3 linked regions of the Struthio camelus genome follow. The protein of the gene in region 1 binds, or shares a complex with, the protein of each later gene. Links are inferred from orthologs where the notes say so. Each region holds a gene or a part of one and is shown on either strand. Other genes may lie near its edges.

Region 1 (7,780 bases):
CTAACATTAAACACGGGCAAAAAAAACACTTGCCAAATTTGGCTCAATTATTGTTCGAAAAAAATAAAAATGCAAGTCATGTCAACATATTATGCACTTAAAATAGCATACTTTTATAACTGATCGTGAAGACATAGCAGCCAAGAAAACCTAAGACTGTCTTGGGTGGCAGGGAAGCTAGCTATGCTGAAAGCTCATGCTCAAGCAATCTTTTTTATTAGTATTACTAATTTTACGTGCTGACTACGCTCAGTGCTGGTGCATTTTCAGGCACAATCTTAAACTGGCTCTGTGCTCAGGCAGCACAAAGCACAGCTCAACCAAGGGTCCTCAACATACCAATTATAAACTGGTTCTGCCGGAGGAAGAGACACCGCTCCCGATTGGCCAAAAGTGGAGCAGCTCAGAGAGAAATGGGAAGGGCCAGATGCATTACCCTGCATCCTGATTAGACAGGTTAAATGTGATTGACCAGTGTGAGTAATTAATAATCTAGAGGCAGGGCTTTCTACTTTGTTTATACCCTTTGATTGGTTGAATTTGAATTAGATATACATTCTGTTTATACCTGGGTGGGACTATGGAGGGGTTTATTTTGGTGCATTACACTATAAAAGTGCAGTGCTAACCGAGCGCAGTGACAGTTTAACAGAGGAAGGAGACCGCAGTTTGAAGCGGCGGCAGCCGCCGCCACTTCAGTGGCAGCATCATCATTATTATTTCCTGGTTGTAAGTGGCCTTGCTATGAGCCTGTCAGATAACTGCTGAAAGCTAACCTAATCAGGAGCCATTAACGAAGTACAGAGGGCAACGCAATGGTTCCTAAAGTAGTTCGGAACTCGAAATAATTGGAGTAGGTGTGGAAAAGGAGATGAAAAACCTCTCCCTCTATAATCACATTCCAATCGCCATAAAGAATATCGCTTATAAACATGTTAAAGTAACACAAGGCACATTTACACTTGAATATTTTCTGTCTTTTAGCTGCGCCATACCATTCCAGAGCGCTGGAAAAATACAGTGGAGTCTGCCATGTCTAAAAAAATCTTGGCAGAAAGCCACAGTAAGTGATAATTAGAGTAACCCATGGGACAAGATTGTTCAAAGAGAGAGGCTAGTTTGAACTATGTTGCTATCAACAGATCTCTTAAAGCACACGGTTTATTTCCAAGTGGGAAGTGTTAATAATATTGTAAGAGATCTTTAAATCTTATTATGCTAATTCTACAACCATTTTTTTTCTTTCCTATACACTTTAGGCAACCTTTACTAGAGTAACAGATTGCTTCCCCACAGTTATATCCTGCTATTCTGAATAAGCAAGGGTCAAATTCACTGCTATAGTAAATGGATGCGACTTTGATGACTTCAGTTTGGTGTACCTCACATACAGCACGAAAATTTAGTCTTTAAATTTCACTGTTCAAAAGTAAAGAAAATGAGGCAAGTTAGATAAACCCTTTAACTTCCACAGAATTATTCACATACAAATACGCTGCCCTTAGACATCACTTTTTGTCAGCTGATCTCAAAAAACTTTTACAGCACGGCCAATACAGTTAAGTACGAGAGGAAGCCACAGGGAACTTTTATCATGGGGAGCTCAAATGATGCACTGTGGCAAAGCAGCAAACCCTCCTCAGCCTCCCGAATTGTGCAGTTCAGCACTCTTCAGGCCACGAAGCCCTCCCTAGGATGACGGCCTCTTGTTACTTTCTTAACATTAGGCCAGATCCTTTAGTAGAGTGAAACGTAACAGGGCCACGAATACAGCAAATGCACCAATCTATTCCAAGTAAAAACTTGGCCTATTGTAAGAAATAGATTCAAATCTTAGTCACGTCATGCAGTGTACTAGTTAATTGCTCTTTCTATACTGATACGGACCTGAAAATTCACTCTCAAGATAAGTTTGTCAAACCAAACACAAAGCAGAGTAATAAAAAAAAAAACAAAAAACCAAGCACCGGTATTTAAGCTTGCTTAAAATATACTGCTGATGACTAATACAATTACATACTATTTTTAATGCAATAATACCAAGGACTGAACCCTTAAAGGTTTGTTAATATCACTGTAGCCCATTCCTGCTTTAACCACTAGACTGCAGTAGCAGTAGTTGCTGCAGTACCATTCCAGTTTAAAACAGTGTAGTCTACTTACTTTCAGTTGATTTTTCTTCCACTTCTGAATTACTTTACTATGATTCAGGAGGCTCTAGATGACTGCTTTGTCAGCCAGACCAAGCCTGTGATACTGATAACAGAGCTTTTTCACTGGTAAAGTTAGAGCATTATTTCTATTAAGGGAGCAGTAATGGCCTAGAACACACTATGGGACAGAAGGATATCCTACCCAAATTAAACCTAGCTCTCTTCTTCAAAATCTTAACATTAGAGAAACAGAGAAAAAAAGAAACGGGATCGAAAGCAGCTTAGAGATAAAGCTTAAAGAGGTCTTAATGAGTTGCAATAATTGTATCTTTTCTTATGTTGAACTCAGGATTTCTTGGTATTTTTCAGCCATCTCTTAATAACAGCTATCCCGTGAAGTATTATTCCCATTTTACACAGGAGTAATTAAGTTCAACAAACAGTTTTTCCAAAGGCCAACTGTGAAATTGTACCTACATACTGCTAGCACTCATAATAAGCCCATGCAGATTACCACAAACAGCACACATGCCAAAATCAGATATTGCCCAGAAACACCGAGCTCTTCTACATGCGCACTGTGCAGCAGCTGTAAATGGATTAACAGCCTTACAACCACCACGTTTTACTGGATTTTTTTGGTCTGTTTTGTGAAGCCTTGGCTTAGGAAGGCATTTAAGGCACAAGGAAGTTTAGTTTAACAACTTTCCCATGACAGTCGGCACATCCCCCTATGCCCACTTGCTAGCCCCATCTTCACTCCTGCTCGCTATTCTCCACTTTCTGCTTTTCCCTTAAGCCTGCATACGCTTACATTCCTTTTCCCCCTTGTTTACTTTCCCAGCGCTTTACCCCACAGCTCTCTTACAACGCTGCTGAGCCCCTTCCCCAAACTCTCCTCCTGAACCCACCACCCCCAACCCCTACGTCCCCCTTTGCGCTCACAACTCCCTTCCCTCAAACCTGCCCCTTCTACCACCTCCCGCTCCCCTCACGCTCTGGCTTTGGCACATCACCTGCTCCACTCACCATCCACCAAGGCCCCTTCCACCTCTCTCACAGACACCTCACGCCCCTTCAAATCTCCTCCCCCCCCCCCCACCCCCCTCCCTCCCACGCAGACACCAATTCCCCTTAACTCTCCCCACAGACTGCACCCCCATCATCATCATCCCCCCCTTTCACACGCCGCCTGTTTTCTTCCCCGCTACCCACCCATTTCTTCCCCCCTCCCCAAGATGGCGCCGCCGCCGCCCACCCCCTTCCCTCCCGCCCGCCTTTTCCCGCCCAACCCGCGCCCCTCCCCCCCGTCACGTGACCGCGCGCGCAGCCGCGGGGCGGCGGCACGAGGCGCGACGGGCGGCGCGCGCATGCGCCCGCGGCGGGCGGGCGGGAAGGGTCCGGGCGCGAGGCGACCGGTAAAGCGGCCGCGCGGGGGGCGGGGGGGGAGGAGGGGTCGCTTCCCCCCCCCCCCGCCGCCCAGCACCCCCATCTCCGGCCTCGGGGCGGCCCCCAACTCCCTTCTCCCCCCGGGAGAGACTCCCAAATCCCAGCTGTGGGGTGTGCCCGGGGCCCGCTGCGAGGCCGGGAGCGGCGTTTCCCTGAGGGAGAGACCCCCCAGCCCCAAATCCCAGCCGTGGGCTGTGCCCGGGACCCGCTGTGAGGCCGGGAGCGTCGTTTCCCTGAGGGAGAGACCCCCCCAGCCCCAAATCCCAGCCGTGGGGTGTGCCCGGGACCCGCTGCGAGGCCGGGAGCGGTGTTTCCCTGAGGGAGAGATCCCCCCAGCCCCAAATCCCAGCTGTGGGGTGTGCCCGGGACCCGCTGCGAGGCCGGGAGCGGTGTTTCCCTGAGGGATAGACCCCCCCCGGCCCCAAATCCCAGCCGTGGGGTGTGCCCGGGACCCGCTGCGAGGCCGGGAGCGGCGTTTCCCTGAGGGAGAGAACCCCCCAGCCCCAAATCCCAGCTGTGGGGTGTGCCCGGGACCCGCTGCGAGGCCGGGAGCGGTGTTTCCCTGAGGGAGAGACCCCCCCCCGGCCCCAAATCCCAGATGTGGGCTGTGCCCGGGACCCGCTGCGAGGCTGGGAGTGTCGTTTCCCTGAGGGAGAGACCCCCCCAGCCCCAAATCCCAGATGTGGGCTGTGCCCGGGACCCGCTGCGAGGCTGGGAGTGTCGTTTCCCTGAGGGAGAGACCCCCCCAGCCCCAAATCCCAGCCGTGGGGTGTGCCCGGGGCCCGCTGCGAGGCCGGGAGTGGTGTTTCCCTGAGGGAGAGACCCCCCCCGGCCCCATATCCAAGCCATGGGGTGTGCCCGGGACCCGCTGCGAGGCTGGGAGTGTCATTTCCCTGAGGGAGAGACCCCCCCCAGCCCCAAATCCCAGCCGTGGGGTGTGCCCGGGGCCCGCTGCCAGGCTGGGAGCGGTGTTTCCCTGAGGGAGAGACCCCCCCCAGCCCCAAATCCCAGCCGTGGGGTGTGCCCGGGACCCGCTGCGAGGCCGGGAGCGGCGTTTCCCTGAGGGAGAGACCCCCCCCGGCCCCATATCCAAGCCATGGGGTGTGCCCGGGACCCGCTGCGAGGCCGGGAGCGGCGTTTCCCTGAGGGAGAGACTCCCCCCGGCCCCATATCCCAGCCGTGGGGTGTGCCTGGGGCCCGCTGCGAGGCCGGGAGCGGCGTTTCCCTGAGGGAGACCCCCCTGGCCCCCTTCCCCCCCCAACCCTGGCCCTGGGGCTGCACTTTCTTCCTTCTCTCCTATCCTTCAGGAAAGTTGCCTTCATTACCCAACTGCACCTCAGTCCTCTTGCAGCCCCTCAGCCTCTTCCAGGATGTGAAGTTTCCACCCTTTTCCCCTGTGCAGACCCCCTTGCACCCCTCCACCTTTGGTTAAGAGGTTCTTCCCAGCCCTCCAAACCTGCCCCAGGGTCTCAGCAGCTCTTCTCTGTCCTGACAGAGGCAGCAGCCTGTGCTTGTGTTTGAAACAGGAGCCAGGATACTTCTGGTTTCTTCTCTGGTAAGGTATGGTGTGTGTATGGGCTGATACACCCGTTCCAGTCTTGGTTATGGTTTTGGTAAGTAACGTCAGATCATCTCTGTTGTTTAACTTACCCTTTTTGTCTTTTGTTTAGGAGACCTTTTACTGCTGTCCTCACACCCCCAGTTTTGCTCTAGGTGGAAACCAGAGCACATCCTCTAACTGGTCACCAGGGTTGGTGGCGGGCATGGACCAGTACCACTTCAGCGACGAGATCACCATTCATTCGGAGATGCATCTCCCTGGATTTTCAGAAAGTCAGGGGCTGAACTGCAGTGACACTCTCAACCACGATTTGTGTCTAAATACAAAAGACATGACGTATGCAGGCCTGAGCGGCTTAGATATGGTTCCAGGCCTTTCAGCTGCAGATATGGCCAGTGATACTTTGGAGGCCAATTTAAATGGACTCTCCTTGTATTCAGTGAAGGACTGTGATTCTGTTAAACTCCTTGAAGAGTCTGACTCTGACTCACAGCCTTCTTTGCGTGGTGAGTACACTGGACTTTGCTTTCACTGTTATTTTGAGGGGTATCTTACAGATCAAAGCAGCCAGAGCTATTTAGTAGTTTTATATAGAAGGAAGAGTCTATGTCATGGAAATTTTGAGGGGGTCGAAGTAGCAGGTATGTTTTTTTTTTTAAATCAGTTTTAGGTTCTTGTCATGTAAGCACTTCACAAATGTTTCTTGTTGCCTTTTACCTGTAAAATGCTATTCAAATTGATAATGCTGTAGAAGATAATTATTATTATAATACTTCTCTTTCACAGGAATTTCACTTCTGTCCTATTTTCTTAAAATTATACCCTAGATAGGAATATGTTTTCTTCAGAAGTCCTTGCAACCTGCTCTCCAGCTGGAAATGGAAAATTTGGAGGCATTAAAATGACAGATTTGCTAAATATGTTGTTAACATCTATATTACTAGCTTTCCCTGAAGCAGAGAAGAGACATTCTGTTTAATTCTTTTTGCATTTCAAATTCTCTGTGAAATGGATTAAGCAAAATGGGCTTTTTCTAGGTCTACCATTAAAAGTTAAAAGGAGAGTGCCTTTAGTGAAACGCTCCTCTTGAGGGAATGGATAACTTAATTGCTAATGTATATAAGAGCACACAAAATTTAGGTGACTTGAAAACAACACAAATCAAAAACCATAGCTAACAGCACTCAAATGAGAACATGAGATTTTCTCGTAATGACTGAGGTCTATGTTTTTATTGATTCACAAGCTAGTAGTAGCAAGGTGTAATAGGTCTCCCTCTCCTTTCTTACTCATAGGTAAGAAATCTTGAATTGTCTCAAAGTCCAAGCTAACGGGAAGTACCTGGTTTATCAGGCGGTTAGTCATCTGATAGCCTTAGATAAAATTCTGTATTGTTCAGTTGAACAAAATGGTTCAGAATTATCTCTTTTTCTCCCTCTTTTTTTCCCCCCAGGAAAGGGGAAAAAAATTGGTAAAATTCATTACAATCGCTGGTCCAGTTAAGAGGTTTGAAACAGCCAAGTGTGTTACGGAGCCTGTGTGAGGGTAGGACATCAGTTTATTTGTTTATGGAAACCCTAGAAATAAAGTATTTGCAGAGCTGCAAATCATAATAGTTGGAGCAGATTTACAGGATTTTCATCTCATTTTTATGCAGATAATCAGTTGTCGAAAACCTTGGACCAGAGTTCTCAAACAGAATTACGAAAAGAAACACTTTTTTATTAGGAATAAAGTGAAAAGCTTGTCGTCACAAGAGTAACTCGATATGGCACTGGGCATAACCTAAGGATATTACTTTCTCCCTCTGTTTAGAACTGGGGCTTCCCACACTTTCAGGATCTAAGGAAGTTGAACAAGGAGGCAGATCCAGTTCTGGTACTGCAAGGAAAGGAAAGCATCAGCACAACTCTCCTCAGACCTCGTTCCTGGATTGCAGTCTCTGTGGGAAGGTGTTCAGCAGTGCCAGCTCTCTTAGCAAACATTACCTGACTCATAGCCAGGAACGGAAACACGTCTGTAGAATCTGCAGCAAAGCTTTTAAACGGCAGGACCACCTGTATGTAGGCATTTACCGTTAAAAATGCATAGAGTTGTTATGGTCCGTTTCACAGATGTAAATAAGACTCCTCTCTGTATACTGTATTTTCCAATTTCAGAAGCTGGTAGAAGTTACAGCGCTCGGTAGTCTTTGTTAGTGTTCTCGGGTTAGCAAACACTGTCGAGTTGCATCACAAAACTATTTCACTAGCACATGCGAATGAACTTTGAATTTTCCAGAGCAGGCTGGTGCAGAAAAAGCCTCAAATGCACTCGTTTCTGTCCAGCTGCAGAAGGATTTGTAATTCTGAACTGTATAATAGGAATTAAAGTCTTTTTCTTTCTGATGACTGGCTTAGGGAAAATTGTATTGGTATTGAAAGAGTTTGTAGCGGGTAGTCAAGTTCTGATTTTGGCAGCCAATGTTTTAGGAACTGTTGCAGTTAAAGCTTGCTTGTTCATGCAGCTGCTACCTCGGATCCTAAACTTTCAAATGCTGTAAAGCATTTATTGTTAACTCTGAACAGCTTTTGATACACCAAACCTTCAGCAGTCTATTGTAGTTCTACTTTTTGGC
Region 2 (7,667 bases), on another chromosome or scaffold:
AATGTTTCGCTCTACATTCCAAATTGAAACAGTGACTCTGAACCCTTCACTGTTAAAAACAGTGGATGTGCACTGTTAACTTGGGTGAATGGGAGCTTGTAAGGAAAAAGATAACTGAAATCTAGTGCAGAGCTCATGGTAGGCTGCTATGGTTGCTTGTGTGCAGCTGAATTTGAAAACATCCTTTAAGCTGCATTTACTATTGCTTAATGAAGCAAAAGTATTTGTCACAGTTCATTGTTGAAGTCCCCCAACAAATAGTTGCTGGCATGTACATTCAATAAAGAACATTAATATTTCTGTATCAACATTTCTGTATTTTTTCCACACAAAAGTGAAGCCTTTTGTTAGAACACCGTTGAAGGCTGTTGTAACTAATGTAACGGCTTATTGCAGAACTGAATTGGAACAGTGAAGGGGCATGTATTACAAATCTTCCAAGGTTTTAACAGTACACGGGCTTATCAGTTTTAATCCTGTAACACCTAGATTACTCTTAAAATACGATGTTTATTTTTGGACCCTGTTTACTGCTTTAAATCTTTTAATAAAAGCATGTGTTACATAAACTCTTTCATACTGTCTTAATTTCCATACTGCAGGGTAGAACACTAAAAAGGAATAGCAGATTCAACTGCATTATACAGAAGGACCAGGAAATACCAGTTGTGCACCAATTTAACCATTTTGGTTAATGGCATGATTTTCTCTCTTACTGTATTACCTGAATCATATACATCCAACACAGGATGTGTTGGAATGTGCAGAATTGTTAAACCATTTTAAGGATTTTATTTTAAAACATTTGCCAACAGGATAATTTGAGGTGCAGCACAACACTCAGTAAAGTATACCTGGACTCCTAGTGAATGGTCCCTAAAGGGTACCTAAAGGGAAGAGTCACCTCTAATTGAACCCTTATCGTATTAAGATATATATATAGCTACAAAACACATTTCCTTTCCACGATTACTCATAATACATTTACAGCGTGCCAGCAATCTATCCAAAGTGATGTGTCTGCTTATCATTTTTTGTTCTCAAATTACAAGTTAAGCACAAAAGCTAACAGGAGCTGGGACAGACGGCAGTCAAAGAGGCATAAGCTGCTCACTTTCCCACCGGTGCCTGGCTCCCCTCTGTGCCAGCAAGGGCCACTGAGTCCTGCTGCATGCACTTGGAGCCTGGGAGCTGCTGCTTTGAACAGATGCCCTTTTCAAGATACTGTAGCTCCTGTTCCTTCTGCATGCCACTTAAGTTATCTATAATGCATTTTTGGCATCTATGACATAGATTATTACTGCCTTAATTTTCAACTCTGCGTGTGAATATGGCACATAAATGCTAGTGAAGTCTTACACAAAAATTTACTAGTTTGGAGCTGCCATTTCCATGCGATCAGCTTAGTTTTTCAAACTTTTGCTCTAAATACATATTGTTCCAATAATGCATACTTTGATAGGGATATTTGTTTACAATCTCCCAGTACATATATATATAATATAGTTATATCTAAATACTTCTATTAAACACTGCCAGAGCTTAATTTTATAAAATCATACTTTTGCACAAAATGCAATCTAGCAGAATCCATCTATGACATTGTTTTATTCCAAAGGGCCTAACTATGCAATTTGGAAAATCTATCCTGTAGATGGAATTTTTACTCTGCCTGATAAGCCCACCTATCTGCAGCTCTTTGTTAACCTTGTACAGTATGTGGGATAAAAAAATGCAATGACGTGATTTCTGAATTATTTTAAGCTGGCATTGATACCAAAGAAGGTGGCCCTTCCCTGTTCTGGTGCTAGTCAGGCAGTCCTGCCCTTCTGTTGGATCGTCCTTTGTGCTAAGACATCACGCAATTGAGCAGTAAAGGAGATCAGGCTTAAACTTAACTGATTTTCTTTCTGCTGGGCTAGTTTTAACCCAATCCAGTTTGCTCTGCAGCTGTATAAATGCTTTTACAGGCACAAGGAAGGGCATGGAGGGCTTGGGTGTGAAAATGAGCGGCTTATGGCAGAAGGAGGACTGTCTTTCTCAGCCCTACTACTGCCTTATCATGATAATGAAACTATGACACTACTCATTTTGAAATTCAGCTTATAATTTAACATACTGGCCAGCATAGCTGATTAATGTAATAAGGTCTTTAACTGTTCACAGATGATACCAAGATAATTGGGAATACAGATTTAAAATGCGCTACTGATCGTTCCATCTTATGAAACTGCACCAACCAAACCTACTATGCCAAATCTCAACCACTCTTTACCTAGCCTGGTGTGCTTTGTGCTCACAGTAAGGTGAAAACAATCTAAAGAAAGATGGGTCTCAAAAGACATAGTGTAAAATTGCAGGTTTTGCTATTCATGACACAGATTTCCACTGAAGAATTCCTGGAACTCACCCTTGCTCCAGCTTTCCTAGCCTGTACTTTCCTTAGGTAAGCCCTGCTACCATTCTTTTAATATTTTATTATTGCAACTGTTAAAAGGGTCAAATCATAGGAAACTTAAAAAGTGAATTAGATGTCTGTTGTCTGAGATTATACAGATTATACCCAGATACTTCATTTAGACTTCTGTTCAGTTGATAACAAAACAGAGCTTTGGATTTTTTTTGAACTCTAATCTCTCTGAATCTTTGAAATGTGCCTTCTCTATTGTCTGTGACTCTATGCTCAATTTTTTACTTACTGTATCATTCATTCAATTACACTGTTCGAAGTGTAAGTGGGAACCTACCCACATTCTATAATACCAGGTTATGTAATCAGATTAAAAAGCCATCTGCAGCACAAACTGAAGCTGCGTTCTAATCGTGTTCCCCGGCTCACTTAGAACTTTGGCTTACACGGGATCTGTGTCTTGTCAAATCATTCACTGACTTCTCCATTACTCTTCTGATTCTGCAAACTGAAAATGCATGGTAACTGATATGGTTGAATATTTGAGTGATTAAATCATCATGCTTTGAGTACAGTCAGTTCAGATACCATTTCTTAGATTTAAGGGAATATTCATGGCAGTTTGAAAGGAAAGCAAAACGAAACTCAATATTCATTCAGTGCCTATACTTTGAAAGCACATGAAGAAAAATGCATCAAAAGTTTGCATCTTCTGTCACTCCGCAGCCAACAGCAGCACTAGCAATTGGTTTAATGCTAATGCATCTCTCATGTGGTTTTGCAAATTCCTGAAACTAAAAATACTTGCTTTTAACAAGTATTTTCACAATATCTATTTTAGCTGGTCTTATACACAGCAAAGTCCCAGTTCATCACTAGCAAAAGATAACGCAGTGTTAGTTTGTTGTTGCTAAAGTCATCTTTATTCACCAAAAGCCCGTTTAAATAGTAAAATTGGAAGCTTGCGCTGTACATTGGCTTAAGAGATCTTTATGAAGTTATCGCAAGGCTAGGCTCCCCTTGCAGCCGTTTTAAAAACGGCTTTAACATAAAGGACTACTGTCAGTTATTCTCAGTCAACAGACTCAAAGCCACAGGCTGTACAGAGGCTCTCAAAGAGCTCCCAGTTGCAAGGCAACACCGCACATGACAGAAAGCACTCTGCATTCAGTCCAGGGCAACGGGATCTGTTCTCCGACCGTTACTGGAAAAAGGCTGAAAAAGAAAAGAGGCAACGAGATATGCACAGACGTACGGCAGAAAGAAAACAAAACAAACTAGAAAAACCAAGCAAGAAAACCATCCAAGGAAATGCGAGTTAGGCTGAAATGTTACAGCCAGAGAAAGTAAAAGAAAGGCGAGGCACCGCTGAAGAGAGCGAAGAAGTAAGGCGCTGCAGAAACACAGACGTTAGCGAATAGGAAGCAAGGGTGTCTTAACCTTTTGAGGTTGAAGTACGTTTACGCACTCGGCTCAGCAAGTGAAAGTGGCGATCTCTGCCCCTCAGAGAGAAACGCCACCCTCCTCCGCCCCAGCCGGGGAAACGCCGCAGCGGCCGGCCCGGCCGCCCGCTCCCGCCGCCGCACCGCCCCGCACATTTCAAATCTCAACGGCCGCACGCGGCCTCGGCGGAGGAAAGGAGGGAGGCGAACAAGGGCCTTTTAAAAGCAGATCTGGGCCGCTGCCGCCGGGCCGGGCCGGGCCGGGCCGGGCGCGGCCACCTGGCGGCGGGGGAAAAGGAGCGCAGCGGCGAGCGGGCGCCCACCGCCAGCGCGGAGAACAGCCAACAACCACCCCCAACCCCCCTCTCCCGCGTCCGCAGCGCCGTAAAATGGCACTCCGGCTCCCCCGCGGGGCATGTCGGGAACTGTAGTTTTCCCTCGCCGCCGGCCGCGGAGGGGGAGGCGGCGAGCGAGACTACAGTTCCCGCCGCGCCCCACCCACCACCACACAAACATACACATACACCGGCGGGGGAGCGCGCATGCGCAGGGGAGGGGGCGGAGCCGCGGGCAGGTTGCTGTTGTTACATAGGAAACAGCTGAAAAGTCTCCACATGACAGAGGGGGAAGGAGGAAGCGGCGCGACCCGCGGGGCGCCGGGGCCGCGGTAGCTCGGCGGAGAGCGGCAGGCGGGGGCTGCCGGCGGCGAGGTGCGTGCCCGCAGCGCGCGGGCTCGCCGCCCGTGAAGGGGGGGGCCGGAGGGGTCGCGCCCCGGTGCCGCGGCCGAGGGCGGCAGCGCTCCCGCTCCCGCCGCGGCAGTTTGGTGCGGGCCGGGGTCCCCCCGCCGCGGAGTTGGCGCCGGGCATGAACGGGTTCGCCCCGGAGGAGGCGGCGCAGCGAGGGGCAGACCCCGCCGCCCTGGTCGCCGCCGTCGTGGGCAATGCGGGCGCCGCCGTGGAGGTGCCGCCGCCGCCGCTGCCGCCGCCGGGGCTGGGTCCGGCCGCCGCGGGTGCCGGTGCCGGTGCCGGGGCGGGTGGCGGCGGCGGGGCGGGCGGCCCCGGGGCCGGGCAGCTGTGCTGCCTGCGCGAGGAGGGGGAGCGGTGCGGCCGGGCCGCCGGCAACGCCAGCTTCAGCAAGCGGATCCAGAAGAGCATCTCGCAGAAGAAAGTGAAGATCGAGCTGGACAAGAGCGTAAGTCGGGCGGCGGGGGAGGGGGGAGCGGGCCCCTGCCCCGGGCCAGCGCAGCCCTTCTGCCGCCCGGCCCGGCTGGAGGGGCGCGGGGCTCGCCCGTCCTTTCCACGGCTCCGTTTCTTTTTGTTTTCTCCCTTTTTGTTTTTTTTCCCCCCTTTTTTCCGGAGCGGTGCGGTCCGTCCCTCTCCTTCCTCGGCACGCCGTGGAGTTTGGCTGGCGCCGCACGAGTTCAGCCTTCAAGCGCCCTTGGCGGGCTGCGCGGCGGGGCGGGGGGGGGGGGGTTGCGCGCCCTGCCCCGCTCCCTCCGCGCTTCCCGCGGTGTCCGTCCGCGCCTGCTTCTGGCGAGGGCAGCGCTTGGCTGCTCCGCCTCGTGCCGTCGCGTTGCACGTCTGCCCTCTCGCCGCTGCGTCTTCCGCTCGGCAGCCATCAGGCGCCGCCGCGCAGCGCTGCGCGGGGCAGCGCGGGGCTGGGGGCGCCCGGCCCGGCCCGGGGTAGGGGCGGCCGAGGTGTTTCCCGGCGCCCCGAGGCAAAACGGCTGAAAACGCACCGCCGCGTGTTTTGCTGCCGGCGAGGCTGCGCAGCGGCGCGGAGCGCTGCGCCCGCGGCCCCCCCCCCCCTCCTCACGGCCGCGCTGCGCTGTCACCCTGTAAACCTAGCCCCGCTCAGGTCCTTAATTCCGGTTAAAGTCGGCGCTCACCGCTCTGGAAAAAAACGGTTTTTGCACATAAGTAAGAACTCTGCTTTCGAAATGAACGGGTCCTTCCAGAAGGAAACTTTATCCAAAAAAAAAAAAAGAAAAAAAGAAAGCGTATGTGCCGCTTGACCTTGCGTAGGCAGTGGAAGTGAAACAAAGGAGTACAGATGGGAAACGAGAGCTGAAGTCCTCCCGCTTTGGGGCGTTCAGAAGAACGACTGAATCACTCTTGTTGCCTGATGCCTGAGCGCTGACGAGCGGCCGTGGAGATTCATGTGCCTCTGCAGTCCGGTACTACTGAATCAGTCTGCTGCGGCACTTCCCCGCTCTCTAGGCTAAGCGGGTGGCAGTCGTCCGTAGCGTAACACATACCTTATTTAGTGAAATCGAGCAGAAAAGCTTCCTGAACTCAGTTAACGTGACTGTGATTGCTGAAGGGTTGGTTCTGTATGTGCATTTATATCTTAAGTTGAGCAGATACGTGTGTGTATTTGATTGAAAGATGCAGCATTACTCTTTCAGGCAAGACATCTTTATATTTGTGACTTCCACAAAAACTTAATTCAGAGTGTGAGAAATAGAAGGAAGAGGAAAGGCAGTGATGATGATGGTGACTCACCGGTGCAAGACATCGACACTCCAGAGGTAGCTAAATAGCTGTTTTCTAATTGTTATGTTAAGCTTTTTCTTAATGACTACCAGGTCTGCACTAATGCTGCTTTTCCACTGTTACAGCTTTCCTTATTTTGGGGGATGGGGAAAACAGAAGACTCCTGACTCATTAAGTCCTTAGTATAACAGGAGCTGACTGAGTTTTATGAAGTATCTTCTGTATTAATCATGTAGATTAGAATGAACAAAACTCTTGGCTTATTTCTCATTATCTGCTAGTTTTCTCAAAAAAACTGTTTTCAACTTTTTCTTTCCGATGCTTCCTCTCCAGACTTCTACTAGAAGTGATGCTTTGCCACATAGTAGCAAAATCTATCTTCTGCAGGAGCTGACAATTTTAAGGGAATTGCACGTAGGACTTGGGATATAAATGCTTCACTACTCCTGTCCCTCCAATCATTTCTTTCTGGGTGTGAAAACGTGTTGCAGAATAGTTCTTGCAGCTACTCTGTTGCTCTAGTCTAACTCTAATGAGGATAGCTCTATGGTTTTTGTCCCCTGTTCAGGGAGGAGACACTCAGAGTCAGGCAGGAAAGGAGAGGAGGAGGATAGCCCTCTCCCTGTTTGTGTTCTCCACTGGAGGTTTGTGAAACATTGTCACTTATTTTGAAAGTGAACTGCAGCTTTTGAACCTTTTTCGTAGTGTTGGGGGAAGAAAGCACTAGGTTTGTAAGAAGCATGCCATGACCTAAAGCCCTCTTCCTACGTGTGTACTGGATTATTTCTGCTGGAGCCTGGTTTAGCGGGTGCTCTTCAGTGTGATGATTCTGAGCAGAGGCTGTGATTCCAACCTAGTTCCTCTAAGGGATTTTCAAGATGTTTTGGATGTTGCTCATTGAATGTAACTTTGATGGCATCCTCATAGCCCAAATCTGCATACATCAGCCACATAAGTAATACAACTTTGCAAGAGTCGCTGCCTGAAGACATGCAGCTCCAGCTTGAAGGCTCTGACTGGGAGGATCTTGGGGGATTGGGAATGATTTGATGCTAGCCTGTGTTTTTGGCTGTTAAATACGTTGGATCACTTTTCTGAAAGTTCTGTCTAAACTTAATGTGCCATGTGACTTAAGGTAGCTGCCTGGCACAGTGGAAACTGCCACTCTTCAGCAAGCCTGTTTTGCTTTTCAGTACAAGAATTCTAAAACATGTCACAACTTATGAGCATTTCTGGAACAAAAAAAGCAAACTTTTTTAGTGGTACTGCTGCAGACAAGAAAACTGGCTGGGAAGTGCATTTGAGGAGTTTCAGCTGGCT
Region 3 (7,937 bases), on another chromosome or scaffold:
ACAGAGGCCCATCAGGGCAGAGCACAGCTTAGAACTGTCCTCCGGTCCCACAGCAGGTGGGGCTCTGCTGACGGAAGCAAAGAGGAGGAGAGGGTGAGCCCAGCAGTGTTGGCCAACCGATACCTTTGGTCCATCCCTTCTCACGGGCTCAGAGACTTTGAGCTTCCACCTGAGGGGAAGGAAAATGAAATAAGAACGGATCCCAGAGGCACCAACTCACAGAACACCGCAAGCACCTAGCAGCAGGGAGCTGAGCTCCACCCCCTCCCAGCTCCATTTGCATTCACACCTTCTATTTCTCTCCAGTGCCCAGCTCTGGATCCTCATCCGTGCTGCACATTCTCTTCTCCCCAGCTGCCAACATCCCACCTCTACCTGTGTCATATACTGCTCACCCTGAATAGTCCATCTGGACCCTTCTGCCCCTTTGGGCCTTGCTTTCCAGAGGGTCTTCTACACTCCCTGCTTCATTCCCCACCCTCTCCAAGCGCAGGCTCTAAGTCAGAACCCATACTCACGCAGCCATGCCCGAGACCCCACGATCATTTGCCAGGCTCTGTCCTGGAGGCCGACCCTTTCTCTGCAAGAAAGATATCCTTGAGCTACTCATTTGTGTAGGCTGAGGGTACTCTTTCGGTTATCCTCTGCTGGGAAAATTGCTCTTTTTACCACGAGCAAAGTGCTGGCTAGCCCTAGAGTAAGGACCTCTAAGGCATTACAAAAGCTGCATCTGCATGCACTTATTTTCTGGGAAGGATGAGGAAGAGGCTTCCCATAACATAAAAGCATTTTTGTGGAAAACCCTACCTTTTTGGGAACAGGGCTTCCTCGCCGATTCAACTCCTCATCCATCTGTCTGGCACGCTGGCAAAGGAACGGCAGGAAGTGAACAGCAGCCCTTCTCCCTGTCTAGTCAGAACCCCCACCCACCCTGTCAGCTACTCTCTTATCTGCCGCACTTGGGGCACAGAGCACAAGTGCACAGGGAACGCTGAAGCCAACCCATCTCGGTATGAAGCACGTAGTTGCAATAAGCAACAGCGCATGGGACTTTTGTTGCTCTGTACCCCCTCCCTCCTAGCCCAACATCTCCCAGTTCTACCCCCTCATTAGAGCAACTGATGGACAACCAGATATCAGGGAGAGATCTATCCTGCAGCTTTTAAAGGACAACACTGTACCCCCCACTTACATATTGATTCTGTAATTCAACAGATAAGGAACAGGCAGAAAACAAAGCAACTCAAAACCCTCCTCTTATTTCTTCCAGCTCTTAAAGTCATTTAAGACTACAGGAACAATAACAACTTTTACCTTTGGTACCGCCTGCTCATGGGGCAACCTTGGGATCACCTTTTTGCCATCAGAGAAAAGCAGCTTGGCCTGTAAGAAGAGAAAGGATTATCTGATTCTGGGTCCAGAGAGGGACTGCCAGCTACCCCTGCCTTTCCCTATGAAAGGGGCTCATGTGTGCAAAGACACTCGCGCTGGAGAGAGAGCCCCAGGCCAGGTAAACTTTAAAGGCCATAGCTAATGACTCAGATGCCCAGTAGACCACAAGGGCTGGTCACTGCAGACCCCAGAGATTCAAGTGTATCTGGCCAGAAGCCCTATATCAGCTCTGGTTGCAGAGTGATTCTAAAGCGCAGTGCTGTTCACAGACAGTGAGATGCAAGAGCACGATCAAGTCAGGATGACCGGCACAAAAGTAAGATCTGAAAGAAGAAGATCACAGTCTTGTTGGAGGAACCTTCAACGGGTACCAGGGAACTAGAGTCACTGTGAAAGCTCCCTGCTGTCAGCTGTGTGCAACAAGCATGGACAGAGCATCAGTGGGAAGCAGCAGTTCATTGAGAGCTACCCAACCCCGACTACTCTCCTTTTCGACAGGGAAAAAGAAGTCGAGCACAGTATCCACGGAAGGACTGTGGACGCCCTCCTCTGGCTATTCTGCAAGACTGTGAGGAGGAACATGCCCTACCGCAGGCTGCTCTGCACAGCCAGCCAAGCAAATAGTAGTCTGCCGCTGCTGGACATACCAGGCTGCCCCGGGTGTGCAGGGCCCTTGGCTATGGTGCCCACCTGTTCTAGGCAACTCCGGCACGTCTCCTGGATGAGCTGCTCTGGGTCCACCTCCTCCCCGACATTATCACGCACATTGATTGCTGCTTTCTGGAAAAACTGGTGAAGAGGCAGCAGGAGAAGGTTAGAGCCTGACCAGCAAGGCAACATCGGGGCAAGCACATGGTGCACTTGTGCTCTCACACTGCACCCGCGTGCCAGCGGCCAGGCTGGCACAGGACAGGCGTGACCGCCTCACACAGCCACCCAGGAGCCAAGCTCCTCCTGCAGGGCCCACAGCGGGACAGGGTGGCACGAGGCACTGCCCCGGCAGCTCTCACCTTCATGTACTTGTTGAAGACGCCTCGGATTTCCTCATTGATGCTGGGCTGCAGGACGGCTCGCAGCAGCTCCATGGACACGACTGGGTCTGTGAAGCTGAAGGTGCAGAGATCAGGTGGGTGGCACAGACCCCCTCCCCCAGTCTGGTCTAATCCAGACCCTCTCCTCCAGGCCAGTCCAGCTGCCCCCTCCCAGCCTGGCCCAGTCCGGTCCTCCCACTGCCGCAGTCTCCCCTCTCGATCCTCCAGGTCCACCCGGCCCGGTCTCCCCCCACCCCCTCCGTATCAGGTCCAGTCGGGACCCCTCCCCTCCCCGGTCCCGCTCCCCATCGGCTCCGTCCGGCCAGCCCGGCCCGGCCCGTGCCCCCCAGCGCAGCGCGGCCCGGCCCGGCCCGGCCCGCCGCCGTTACCTGGTGGTCATCTGGGAGCGGCGGCCGCGCCGCTGCACCTGCCGGTGCTTGATCATGATGTTCCAGGGGCTCTGCGGGAAGAGGCGCGTCAGCCCCGGCCCCGCCGGCCCCCCGCCGGCCCGGCCCCCCGCCGGCCCCCGCCTCACCGTGCTGACCAGCTGCTCCTCGGCGCCGCCCGGGCCCTCCTCGCCCGGCGGGCCCGGCTGCTGCTCCGCGTCGCGGGCGGCCCCCATGGCGGCCGCGGCCGCAGCCCCAGCCCCGGCCCCGGCCCCGGCCCGCCGCCCTCGCGCCCGGAAGCGGCCGCCGCGCGCCGGCGTCATCGCGCCGCGCCGCCCGCCGGAAGCGCCCGGCTGCCATGGCAACGGCGGGCCCGGCCCGGGCCGGCCGGGGCGGGGGGGTGTGGGCGGCCCTCGGCGGGGCAGGAGGCTCGTGGGGGTGACGGGGGGGTGTGAGGTGACAGGGGGTGTGTGGGGTGACGAGGGGTGTGAGGGTGACGGGGGTGTGAGGGTGACGGGCGAGTTTGGGGGTGACAGCAATGTGGGGGTGTGGGGGGTGGCGGGGTGTGAGGCTGATGGAGGGTTTGGGGGTGACAGGAGTGTGGGGATGACAGGGGTGTGTAGAAGTGTGTGGGTGTATTTGGGGGGTGTACTGGTGGTGTATGTACTTGGGGGTTGTGCTGGTGGTGTGTGTATTTGGAGGGGTGTGCTGGTGGTGCGGGTGTATTTGTCGGGTGTGCTGGTGGTGTGGGTGTATTTGGGGGTTGTGCTGCTGGTGTGGGTGTATTGGGGGGTGTGCTGCTGGTGTGGGTGTATTGGGTGTGCTGGTGGTGTGGGTGTATTTGGGGGTTGTGCTGGTGTGTGTATTTGGGGGGTGTGCTGGTAGTGTGTGTATTTGGGGGTTGTGCTGGTGGTGTGGGTGTATTGGGGGTTGTGCTGGTGGTGTGGGTGTATTTGGGGGTTGTGCTGGTGGTGAGGGTGTATTGGGTGCGCTGGTGGTGTGGGTGTATTTGGGGGTTGTGCTGGTGGTGTGTGTATTTGGGGGTTGTGCTGGTGGTGTGGGTGTATTTGGGGGTTGTGCTGGTGGTGTGTGTATTTGGGGGGTGTGCTGGTAGTGTGTGTATTTGGGGTGTGTGCTGGTGGTGTGGGTGTATTTGGGGGTTGTGCTGGTGGTGTGGGTGTATTGGGTGTGCTGGTGGTGTGGGTGTATTTGGGGGTTGTGCTGGTAGTGTGTGTATTTGGGGGTTGTGCTGGTAGTGTGGGTGTATTGGTGTGCTGGTGGTGTGTGTGTATTTGGGGGTTGTGCTGGTGGTGTGGGTGTATTTGGGGGTTGTGCTGGTGGTGTGGGTGTATTGGGTGTGCTGGTGGTGTGGGTGTATTTGGGGGTTGTGCTGGTAGTGTGTGTATTTGGGGGGTGTGCTGGTAGTGTGTGTATTTGGGGGTTGTGCTGGTGGTGTGGGTGTATTGGTGTGCTGGTGGTGTGGGTGTATTTGGGGGTTGTGCTGGTGGTGTGTGTATTTGGGGGTTGTGCTGGTGGTGAGGGTGTATTGGGTGCGCTGGTGGTGTGGGTGTATTTGGGGGTTGTGCTGGTGGTGTGTGTATTTGGGGGTTGTGCTGGTGGTGTGGGTGTATTTGGGGGTTGTGCTGGTGGTGTGTGTATTTGGGGGGTGTGCTGGTAGTGTGTGTATTTGGGGGGTGTGCTGGTGGTGTGGGTGTATTTGGGGGTTGTGCTGGTGGTGTGGGTGTATTTGGGGGTTGTGCTGGTAGTGTGTGTATTTGGGGGTTGTGCTGGTGGTGTGGGTGTATTGGGGGTTGTGCTGGTGGTGTGGGTGTGCTGATGGTGGGCCCGTGGGGGTGCAGGGCATACGGGTGCATCGCTGCGGGAGGGCGGTGTGATGGGGCGGGTGCGGGGGTGCGGCGGCGTGGGGAAGGTTTCCGACGCGGTAAGGTAGGCGCTAGTGGAGCAACGGCCTCCTTCCTGCCAGCTCCTGCGTGGTTTGGTGTAGGGGAAATAACGGGAACCAATAAACGTGCTTGCCGTTTCCTGTTTGGTGTCAGCTTGGGTGTCAAAGCGTTAAACTCTCTGTATGTCCCGCAGCGCAGGTGCTCGGCGTAGCTGTGAAGAGCTGCACAGCTGTTTGTATCGCCTCGCGTAGGAGGCAGCACAGCAAAGTGTGTGTAAATAATCTAAGAGAATGGAAGTAGACTGAAATTGCAGTTGTAAATTTAAGACATCCACGCTTATTTCCCTCTGTGCTTGCAGGTGCATTTTTTCCTCATGGTTTATTTTACACATTACCTATTGGTATGCATATTCCCTCTCAAAAAAGTATGTAAATACCAGGTAATGTAAAAATTTATAGCAAGAAAAGAATCCCCAGTTGTTCAAAAGTACAGCTGTCATGGATGAATTTGTAGTGATGGACTGACTGTCAGCTCTCAAAAATAATCAGAAGTCTTAAAGCTTAAAAAAAAAACTTTTCCACCAAAATTGGAAATATTGAGACCTTCCTCAGACTGAAATCGGTAGCACACTAATCTTACCTACGGTACCAAAATAATTACAGTTATAGAAATGTAAATATTTGTTCTTTTATTGTCTGTAAATATTTTTGTTGTCTGATCTAGTATACCTGAAATACAAAAATAAAGTTGTTGCAGTTCCAATCTTAATAAGCTGTGTGTCTCTTTGCTGCAAGCCTCTCAGGATTCCTGAATCTCATTGTGTGGCTTAGGAAATATAGGAAATATTTGAAGCCAGTGTTCCTTAAATTTAACGTGTCAGCTTGATCAGTTACAACGTCTAGAATATTCAAAATGATTTGTCCATTGTTCATTAGACCTTTTTACCCTTGTACATTGGTTAACGTGAAGCTTTTTCTGTTGGGTCAGGTGGATGAAAATTTAAGAGGCAGATTTGCTGTTTTGTTGGTAAAATTTGTTACTTCCAAAAAGATTATAAGATAAAAACCGGCGAATTGGGTTTGCCAAAATGCGTTGTGTTAGGGCAGTTCGGTGTCTCTTGTTCAAAGAGTAACTAATCTAAAGGATGATGGAGATAATACTCGATGAGTATAGAGAGTGTGTTCAAGCAGTCATTTTCAGTATATCACCAAGTGTTTGTCCGTAGTGACCTAGGCGTACCTGATTGTGTCTCAGCGTAAGAGAGGAAACAAGATCATCTTTTGACGTTTCTTTCAGCGTTATAACACGTCAACTTACGAGTGTGATCCCCTTAGTATGCTTGGTTTGAATCGTCCATTGTAACTGTCGGTGTAGTGCTAAATAGCACTTGGCACCTTTGTGAGATCAGGACTTGCTGGTTAGTGTTTATTGCTGAGGAGGGAGGCTATGTGGCTCATCTTCTGTTCGTGTAGTACAAGAGACTCCTGCTTTTGTGGCCTCTTTCCTGCTACTTTAACTGTGGCTGCATTGACCGTGAATGAGATCAGGCTGTTATATAAATTAAACCTGTGGACATGTGGCCATTGAAGTCATCGTTAGTGTTGCCATGGCTTCATTTTCATCAGTGTTGGAATTTTTATGGGCAATTTTGGTTGTTCCCAATCATTAGGAATTTTATTTCCACAATATATGACTATATGAAGAAATTCTATTCTTCCTGAGTACCTAATAACTCAGTTGTTGCCGTTTCATTGATTTTGTTTTCTTTTCCGTGATAAATCAACAGAAGTGGATTTGTAGAGGAAGAGGAGAGGATACTGGCTGTACACGAATCTGATTGGAGTTGTCCTCAAACATTTGCGAACGAAATAGACTAGTAGTTGCTGCAGTGTGAAAGGAAGAAATATAATGCCTTGGGGAATGTGAGTGGGACTTGAAGACTCGTGTGCTGTAAGGACATGCTCAGTTACCAGTAATATGTTCTCCATCACAGATGTGACTTTGTTCCTTGTCCTCTAGTGGTGTATTGTGTTGTGTGTCTGAGTTAAAAGAGCAGCTTTCATTTCTGCACCAAATCCCACTTGAACAGGAAACTCAAGAGGGCTCAGGGTCTCCTGTTGCTGCAGACTGCTCAGATCATGCAGTTTTTGCATTTGGGTGAGTCCTCATTAAGCATTTACCCATTTGGTTTACTTATTTCTCTTTTTTAGGTCAGCACCCAGCCTGAGGAGGCTGGGAACAAAGGAGGGACAGGCTATGTCTCTCAGTAAGTCAAATTTCTGGCAATGCCATTGCTATAGTATCAGCAAAAATCATTTGACTGCTAGCGAAGCATGTTCTTGGCTTTAAGTTCCATGGGGTAAATTATTAATCATCTGAATAGCTGTAAACCTTGGAGGAGACTGGAATTCTTTCTTAAAAGCAAACCAAAGGAGAAAATCTCCTTGAATACATATCTTTGTTAGTATTGTTTTCTGTATTAATTATATTCGGGGAGTACTCGTAATCTTGCAAACCTGTGTTCAAAAACTGGCCATCTACATCTGTTTAAAGTGAGGTTCTACAAAATGAGATCCAGGCCTGAGAGTTTGCCCTGAATCCGGTGTTATTCAGTGTGAGTGCTAGTAATTAGGAGAAGAAAATCACTTTTGCAGCTATGAAGAGAGGAGTAAATGGCTACCTGATGGCACAGCAGAGAGATGGTGGTGCTATGGATCGTGAAACGAATGGGAGGCAACAACATGTTGCTGTGGCAAAAACAGGCAGAAGATGTTTTGAGGCACAGCATTATAGGTAAGGCATGTGAGATAAATATTTTATAGATCTCTGAACTTCAGATGGGGAACTGCGTCTGGCTTGGAGGACACACTTAAGTGAGGACATACACAAAACTGGACATTGCCCAGAGGAGAGTGAAAATGAAAATAGATATAAAAACTTAGGGAGAAAGCTTAAAAGAATGCTTTTGTTTAACCTAGATAGAGCTAGATGAAGAGGGGACGTAACAGCAGGATTCATTTCTGAAAGCTTGTTGCAGACAGGACAGTAGTCAATTGCTCTTCGTATCCACCTATGAAAGGACAAGAAATAGTTGTATTAATTTGAATCAAGCAAGATTTACATTACCTGTGGAAAAAAGCTTTCTTATTAAAAGAACAGTAAAATATTGGAACAAATTCTCAATAAAGGAGTCCCTGTCTTTGGGGAGATAGGCATATCTTTTT

What was found.
Region 2: ZNF541 (region 1) and SAP30 share a complex: the UniProt entries of both Homo sapiens proteins name them as parts of the histone deacetylase complex. The link is inferred for Struthio camelus from reciprocal best matches to the Homo sapiens genes ZNF541 and SAP30.
Region 3: ZNF541 (region 1) and DNTTIP1 share a complex: the UniProt entries of both Homo sapiens proteins name them as parts of the histone deacetylase complex. The link is inferred for Struthio camelus from reciprocal best matches to the Homo sapiens genes ZNF541 and DNTTIP1.

What each region holds. Positions count from the first base shown.
Region 1 is NC_090957.1:856,741-864,520, forward strand, and holds the start of ZNF541 (zinc finger protein 541), read left to right. Parts: upstream 1-4,774; 5' UTR 4,775-5,162; intron 5,163-5,272; 5' UTR 5,273-5,365; coding exon 5,366-5,669; intron 5,670-6,978; coding exon 6,979-7,222; intron 7,223-7,780. UniProt on the Homo sapiens protein: Transcription regulator which is essential for male fertility and for the completion of meiotic prophase in spermatocytes.
Region 2 is NC_090945.1:46,426,135-46,433,801, forward strand, and holds the start of SAP30 (histone deacetylase complex subunit SAP30), read left to right. Parts: upstream 1-4,604; 5' UTR 4,605-4,716; coding exon 4,717-5,043; intron 5,044-6,259; coding exon 6,260-6,382; intron 6,383-7,667. UniProt on the Homo sapiens protein: Involved in the functional recruitment of the Sin3-histone deacetylase complex (HDAC) to a specific subset of N-CoR corepressor complexes. Capable of transcription repression by N-CoR.
Region 3 is NC_090959.1:19,293,282-19,301,218, reverse strand, and holds the start of DNTTIP1 (deoxynucleotidyltransferase terminal-interacting protein 1), read right to left. Parts: upstream 3,099-7,937; 5' UTR 3,046-3,098; coding exon 2,959-3,045; intron 2,884-2,958; coding exon 2,813-2,883; exon of another isoform or gene 2,785-2,812; intron 2,552-2,784; exon of another isoform or gene 2,500-2,551; coding exon 2,403-2,499; intron 2,182-2,402; coding exon 2,083-2,181; intron 1,384-2,082; coding exon 1,315-1,383; intron 865-1,314; coding exon 808-864; intron 581-807; coding exon 519-580; intron 170-518; coding exon 124-169; intron 1-123. UniProt on the Homo sapiens protein: Increases DNTT terminal deoxynucleotidyltransferase activity (in vitro). Also acts as a transcriptional regulator, binding to the consensus sequence 5'-GNTGCATG-3' following an AT-tract.